Linked DNA regions of Drosophila melanogaster. The protein of the gene in region 2 interacts with the protein of the main gene of each other region in a pairwise test. Each region holds a gene or a part of one and is shown on either strand. Other genes may lie near its edges. The genes, in order: CG3308 and CG13001.

Region 1 (3,931 bases), on a different chromosome or scaffold from region 2:
GCAGTGGCCAAAGCCACCTCGTCCGGGCTTTTCTTCATGAAGGCGGCTATCATCTCTACAATGGCGGGCAAACTGCACGGCTCGTTGCGTTGGAAGGTACAATATCTGGAAGGTATTTTGAACTAATAGAAGAGTGACCTATTTTGGTACTTTTTACTTCGCCCACCTGTGTAAGTACAACAATGAGCGTTCGGTGATACCAGTCTTCACGTGTTGCGGTAGCTTGGAAGCCCTTGTGTTTGGGTACATGAAAGGAGCATCCGTCTCCACCAGTAGTCTGTCTAGCGGCAATGTGCCGTCCTCCAGCAGGCGGCGAACGCCAGTATCCGATTTGTCCTTGCACAGGTAGCCCGTCAGGCTGATGTAGAACCTCCGGTCTAGGTACTTAAGCGCCTCCTCGGCGGTGCCCATAAAACCTCTGATGATCACAGGCGGAAGATTCTCGAATCTGCGCGGGGAACAATTTAAAGTTTTGTAAACCAAATCTACGGCTCTTACTTGTCTAGTATTTCGAGTAAATCGAGCTGAGCCGACCGCTCGTGGATCAGCAGAGGTTTATTTAGCCGGATGGCCAGATGCAGCTGCTTGGCGAAGATCTGCTTCTGGGCGTCCGGTTCGGAGAAGTCCCGCTGGTAGTCCAAGCCGCAGGGGCCAATCGCCACACACTCCTGCGCCTGGGCGATGTGCTCCAGATCGAACCACGTGGCCGGCTCTTCCACGATGGACTTGGAGTCGTGCGGGTGAATGCCAGCAGTTGAGTAGATTATGTCGGGATAGATGCGCGAAAGGCGCAGCGCTTCCTTGCTCGATTTGACCGAAGTGCCGTGAACCATTAGTTTCTGGACACCTGCAACAAGAAAGGCGGGAGAAAGTTAGTGCAACGTTCACTGGGCTACAGACTTGTGTACAAAAGAGAAAATATGTGACTTCTGTTTGCTTTCGATCAGATACTCTTATCAGCATTGTAATGTATCCCTTTAAGTAAATGTATTTAAAAAACAAATTTTTTGTTGAATATCAAATCAAATATGTAAAGAGAATTTATCTCTTACATATATTTAAATGTTTATAGTTTCCTTTAAAAATTTATCCTATGCAAATATTGTTGTGTTGACATCTTGGTTATTTGGTTTTTAATCTCCAGCTACGTTCCCATTGAATTTGTAATGCCATCTCCCAGGGCACATATGTACATGCATACATATATCAAAACACAGGCACACTTGTTGCTCGCCAATAGCCCGACCTTCTGGCTGTCTGGGTGTTTTCGCAGCCTCGCCCCAGAACGAAGACACTGCCCGGGTCTTATTAATTATGCCTGCACATGTAGTATCTGATGCTGGCATACAAACCTGCGTCTCTGGCTCTCTGCACCACGGAATCCAGATCACGGCTATACTTCTTGTTGGTCAGATTCGCACCCACGTCGATGACGATCAGGTTCTCAAAGCAGTGCTTCATGTCCAATTCCAGCTGATCCTCCAGCAGCGGGGCCACGGGGGCCACCACCGTCTCCTGGGGCGTCTGTTGACTGGGGTCCATGTTCTGGATCGGAATCTTGGATCTATTATCGACGAAAATAGCTTATGACGCAGGCGATGGATTGCTGGGCTGCGACTGTGTGCGTGGGTAATTCAATTAGCTTGTTTTTGAGGGCGCAAGGAAACGCGACGGCGGTGAAAGCCGTGAAATGTGGATCTACTGAATTTGTTGGAATTTGGAAGAGTTGACCAATTCGGCAATCAATGGTCTAAAAGTTGAGAAATATTAATCTAAAAAACAATCCCGACACGAACTACAACTGCTGGCTAGAGTTGAACAACGTCTGCAGAACGGGTCAGTGCAGGTACTACACTCTGCATGCAATCGATAGTCGGAATCGATACGTAGCACCAAATTATATCGTGTTTGAATTTAAATTGTTATCAAAATAAATATTATGTAATAAAATTCAGTCCAATTATTTGATATAAATATATTTGTTTCATGTATATAGTAGAATTCCGATCATCAATAGTAACATCTTAAGACAAATAATTAAATATTTCACAATACCATACCAGAAGTCGCAACTAAATATAACTGAGTCGAATTTTTTGTTTCGGCAACAGTCATTGTTTTTGGGGATTTAAAACCCAAGCCCACACACTTGCACCGACCCCACCTTCAGTTTTGGTTAAACAAACGAACAAATGAGAATAATGTTTTCATTATATTCTTTCCAAACACCTGCAAGATTATTTAACTAAAACGATTCATTGTATTCAAGTGCGATTGTTTATTTATTTGAGTTGGCCCACACAAAGCTTGTTCATTTTTTTTTATCAAGAAACAAAGGTTTAAACAAGTTCGCCCACGGCTTGATAGTGAGTGTAATATGATATTGCACCGGCTCAATCCTCTATTCTCAGCTTGTGTATGCCGGTGTTCCATGCCACTGATTATTTACGTATCTACAATGGTTAGCAGATGCTCTAAGGGGGAAACTCATTATAATAAACACATCCAACCTACTACTTCCAACAGGCATATTATATTGAGTTCCCCTGTTGATAAACTCTTGTCGGAAGACTTCTGCAATGTACTCCTGGTGCAATGGTATCTAGAACGGTATTGTTATCAGATCATCCGAGTTTCCCTCTATCATAATGTTTTTACTTAACATCAGCACCACCCAAACTCTTATCGATTCAAGAAAATGTACCAAAAAGGGTCACCATTGGTGACATCGCAGGGGGAAAATGGAAGCCAGCTTGCTGATGGCAGTGGAGGAGTTCATCTTCTGGAGACAGTTCACCCTTTTGGCTGGAACTATCAACCACACTCCCTTGGCCATCAGCTGCAGACAGCACTCATCTGCATATGTCTTTCGGCAGTGCGACTTGTTTTCGAATTAACTCTTATCTTTTGGGTACATTTTTAAAATTATAAGCATAATCGTCTGGGGTGGATTGACTACTTAATAGATAATTCCCAATGTCGCAGTATCATTGGAATTAATTGGATTTTTTTTGGATCTGAAGAGACCATTAACAATTCCTGAATAATAAATTCCTATCTACATATATTTCGGAGTCACCCTAATCGATAAATAATAGCGAGGGTGTTTGTCTAGGTAAATTTTGATATCAAATATTCTTATTAAAAATGGGTAGATAAAGATTTATACCGGATTATTCATCATTAAAAATGTTCCCGACGAACAAACGGGTTTAATAGAAAGGCGTCTTGAACGTTGGGGTAAGCAAAAACCAGTTGAGCCCGGTTTCCATGTTGAGATAAAAGAGCGACCTTGGGTGTATTTTTTCTCTATTAATTAAACATGTACATTTTTTATTTGTTTACACTGCTATTGAAAAGATATTTGTGTATTTGTTCAAATAACTTACTTGGTCACTTGGAAGTGGTCACTTCAAAAGCCCTCACCAACCGGCTTGATTATGAGCTCCTTTATCTGGACAGTTGGGGGCGTCTGGATGCAGTAGGTCACCGCATCGGCTATATCCTCCGATCGCAGCATGGGCATGCCTGTGGGTTGCTCCCAGGATCCGGCTTCGAAAATTTCAGTGGCCACTACACCAGGACTGATGCTCTAAAATACGTACATCATTAGAAGTTCTCATGCGAACTGGATGAGCAAGGTCACTTACCGTGATCTTTGTTTGAGTGCCCTTCTTGATGAACTCCTGACGCAGGATTTCGGTCAAGGCGGTGATCGCGTGTTTGGAGGGCGCGTACATGTTCAGGCTGAAGCCCTCCACGGCCGGAACGGAGTGGCCTACCACACTATTGATGACTACCACATGACCGTCGTTTACCTTGCGGCGCTGCAGCGATAGGAACCACTGGCGGGTGCACCAGGTCACTCCCAACACATTCACGTCCAGAATGGCACGCACATCAGCGGAATTTTCCGGGTCCGTGATGTTCA
Region 2 (3,931 bases):
ACTTAGCCTATGATTATAGTTAAAATAAAAATCAAATTCATTGAGTTTACCAACTAAAATTGTTATGAGAATTTGTTAGCGGCCGGCGTGTCATGAATAATTTCTTCATCGATTTTCAAATACACTAGTAATGTATAAAATATTAATGCAAGTATTTGACATTCTTTTAAATCTTCTCCGATAATCATGAGCACACCCGCCTTGCGTCGTTGTAATACTTTTCATTGGGATTAATAATAAATAGATGAGGCAAAAAAAAAAAAACGCATTCGATTTAGTGCGCTGAGTTTCCGGAACCAGCTCCGGACTTAAGATGAGTGTAGTTGCTGGTCTGGAGCGGTGGCCACTTAGTTGTTCTTCTTCTTGGGCTTCTTCGGATTGCGGGAGCGCGACTTGGCCTTGCAGAGCGGACAGATGGGCGCGTTCCGGTGGATCTGCTGGTGGCAGGACAGACAGGACTTCATGGGCGGCGGCTGCTGGCGGAGATTCACATTGAAGTCGGAGCGGAACGAGGGATGGTGGCCGATGCCGATCGAAGGCGATTGCTGCAGTCGATTGCTGGGCGGCGGCGGTGGCGGTGGTGCTGAGAAGTCACCCTTGCCCAGACGCACTGCAGCAGCAGCGGCGGCGGCAGCAGCACTGCCTGCTCCCGGCGGTGCGGGTGGCATGAAGGCGTGTCCAGGATTGCCGCCACCACCGCCTCCGCCGCCCACAGATCCTCCGCCACCGCCTGCAGCGCCGCCACCACCAACGCCGCCCTGTCCGCCGCCAGAAGGCAGCGCGGTGACCGTGGCCTCCGGCATCAGAGGATGCCGGGCATGCGGACGGGCCAACGACGAGTTCTGATTAACCGAGGCCGCCGCCGCAGCTGCAGCAGCTGCTGCTGCCGCCGACTGGGCGGCCACCTTAAGGAAGTTGGTCTGGAAGCGATCCTTCGAAATGGGACTGCCCTCCTCCTCGTGCAGATCTCGCAGCGGGCTTAGTCCGAGATAGTCGCGGCGCATGTGATCAATCTGGTACTTCAGGGCCAGGTACTCCTCGTACACCCGGTTGGCCATGTCGAAGGAGCGGGTCTGGTTCTCCTTCGTCTGCTTGATGATGTTCTCCATGTCGTTGATGTCCGCGTGGATCTGGCGCAGCTCTTCCACGTGCGACATCTTCTCCTCGAGCAGGTGCTCCATCTCCTTGCGGTACTCCTCCAGGCACTTCTCCTCGTCGTCGCTCAGCTTCACCTCCTTGATGATCCGCACTTTGAGCTTCTCCAGCGACAGCGTCTTGTCCCTGATGTCCTTGATGGCCTCCAGTTTGGCGTAGTAGTGCCGCTCATTGGAGCTCGAGATCTCGCTGGTGGCCATTGTAGATCCAAAACGATCCGTGTGGTATAATATGTGTATTTTCGAAAGACTCTCGAGTGTTTTCTGTATGGCCCCCTCCACTGGGCGAATGTTTATTTTGCACTTTTTCACTAGCCTAATAGTTCGATGTCGGATTTTCCGGCCGATTCTTAAGCATCTGATATGGATGATCGCGTCTTTTGGGATAATCCTTTGGAATGGCGCACTTTTAATTGATTTTTTCTTTATTTATTTGATTTTTTCTCTGCTAATGCTAATACCATTTTTTTCTGGTATACAATGCAGTGTTACCAGAGCGTGGAAGTAATTTTTACATTTAATCACGACCAGCCGATTATTTGCTATCGATAGCTGGCAGTGCGGTATATATCGTTTTTTAAATAGAAAACAAATTCCTTCCAATTCCAATTCCTTATACGTACAAATTTACTTAAATGATTACACTATAGTTAAAGTGCTTTACTGATTTTACCGTGGGCGCTGCTTTAAAATTTAAAAATCCGGTAAATTCCAGTTGCTGTGGCAAAAAACTTAAATCTGGCATTCATGCCGAGATAATATTCAGTTAACTATTGATATAAAATGTTTCAGTTATATGGAAAGAACGTTAGTATTAAAATTTACATTATTACATATAACTAAAATTAATAACTTGTATCCTAGCTACTAGTTTAGTAACTAGTTTTGCCGGCATTCGCTGTCTTTCCGCCAACGGTCACACTAGGCGCGCCCCGTTATATTACATTATGCATTTGTATTCTTCGATCGGTCGCAGATCGTTCGGATCGGAAAATCCGGTTCGGAAAGCGGGCATTGGGGACAAAAACAAAGAATCTTGTTCTGGTCATGACTTTTCCATCCGCGAATTGTCAACTTCTGTTTAGCGAATAGTTGTTGTTCCCTTTTGGAGACAACAACAAAAAAAGACATCGATCGCGCGAGAGAGAGAGACAGATGCAAACAATGCGTACGCGCGCGTATGTGTGTGTGAAACATTCCGCAAGTGATTCATTCCGCAAGAATAATAAATAAATAAACAAATATTAGTAAACTGGGCCGAAATGTTTGTGGAAATGTGTCAACTAGTTGCGGCAGTAAAATATCAGTGCAATATCGATATGTGTGGGAAATCAGCTTAGCAATTTAGCAGAGACTTTGCTTTTCGCCCACCGCTCTCTCCCTCTCTCTCACACTCTTTGTTTTCGTTTTTTATTGTTGTGCTCTGGTTGTGTTTGTGTGTGTTGTGAATATAAAACGAAGTTAAGTTGACCACGCAGAAACTGCATACGAAATTTTTAACAAGGAAAAAGCGAAAGGTAAAAGCGATTTTTATTATTTTTATTTGAAAGCCGCAGTTTCTTTGCGATCTCTTTTTCTGCGGGCTTCGATTTTCAATGGTCTCTTCTCTCTTCAATGCGTTCTAATCAATCCGTGTTTACATACGGGCTGTGTGTCTGTGTTAGTTGGCTGATAATTTTTAGTGACAGCTATGTGCCAAATAATAGTAATATCTACAATAAATCAAATATAAATAATGCGAAATACGGCAATATTGATAACATTGTGAATTTTAATCATTATACTTTGAAATGTTTAAAAACATTTCGTTAGTATATGTTTATATATTTGTATTATATTTTAATTTAGTGTTTTTGCCACCTATGCGTTTTATGCAATATAATGATATTTTTTCCTAAATTTATAAAACCACTATGGCTGTGTACACATTTGTATGTATGATAATTTTTGACACACATATATTTCGCTTCTAACTGCTTATCGCTCCCATTTAGCGATAGACTGTGCGAGCGGGACAGGTGTCACCTGTTGCGCTTCTTCGCTCCATCTCTCCACCGCTCTTCCCTCTCTCTCTCTCTCTTTCCATCGTTTGACACATTTTGTTGCTGTTCTTAATTGTTTGGCAATTAAGTCAATTATAAACATATTAAGACAGCCGACACACATTCTCCGATTGGATGCGCTTTTCCCTTTGACTTTCGCAGAAGAATCAATAACCAAATTAATCGATCAATCCAGGCGATAAGTCCGAAAATTGGGCTAAATAAATAAAAGCCTCTCAAGATCTTTTAGTTATGGTAATAAATAAAGTACACTATGCATAAGTTCGTTGGGGTACGTGAAATACAACAAACTCGTGAGTTGACAAATATTTGGATTTTTAGAGCCTAATGTATCTATGATCCGTAAACATTATGATTACTAAAAGATAATGTTAGCTGCTCACTCTATGTGCATTATATTTATATTAAATGGGAAGAGCTGTAATCTATCATCTCTTACTTATTTTAATAGCTTTTTCTTGTTTACAATTGGAACACATCAAGTGAACTAAAGGTTTGTCAAAACAATATGGTAAATGACCATAAATCTGTAACCCTTCAGTAGGTACACCTAAAGATTCTTATTTAAACGTATTTCGTTGGCAAAAAGAGTTACAGATGAACGGCATAGCTGCACGCTTAGTATTCTCCTCGCGATAGTCCAGGTAATCAAGTGTCTGGGATTTCCTTTACCCTCTAACGATCGCTTTGTGGATTCTTCTTTTTCTACCTGTC

Evidence for each region.
Region 1: the proteins of CG13001 (region 2) and CG3308 interact in a two-hybrid assay, tested with the Drosophila melanogaster proteins (one large-scale study listed by BioGRID).

Annotation. Positions count from the first base shown.
Region 1 is NT_033777.3:21,271,989-21,275,919, forward strand, and holds the start of CG3308 (uncharacterized protein), read right to left. Parts: upstream 1,830-3,931; 5' UTR 1,543-1,829; coding exon 1,353-1,542; intron 848-1,352; coding exon 499-847; intron 449-498; coding exon 167-448; intron 106-166; coding exon 1-105. Other genes in the region: CG3301 (uncharacterized protein), read right to left, coding at 3,413-3,592, 3,651-3,931.
Region 2 is NC_004354.4:16,941,228-16,945,158, forward strand, and holds the start of CG13001 (uncharacterized protein), read right to left. Parts: upstream 1,645-3,931; 5' UTR 1,356-1,644; coding exon 348-1,355; 3' UTR 1-347.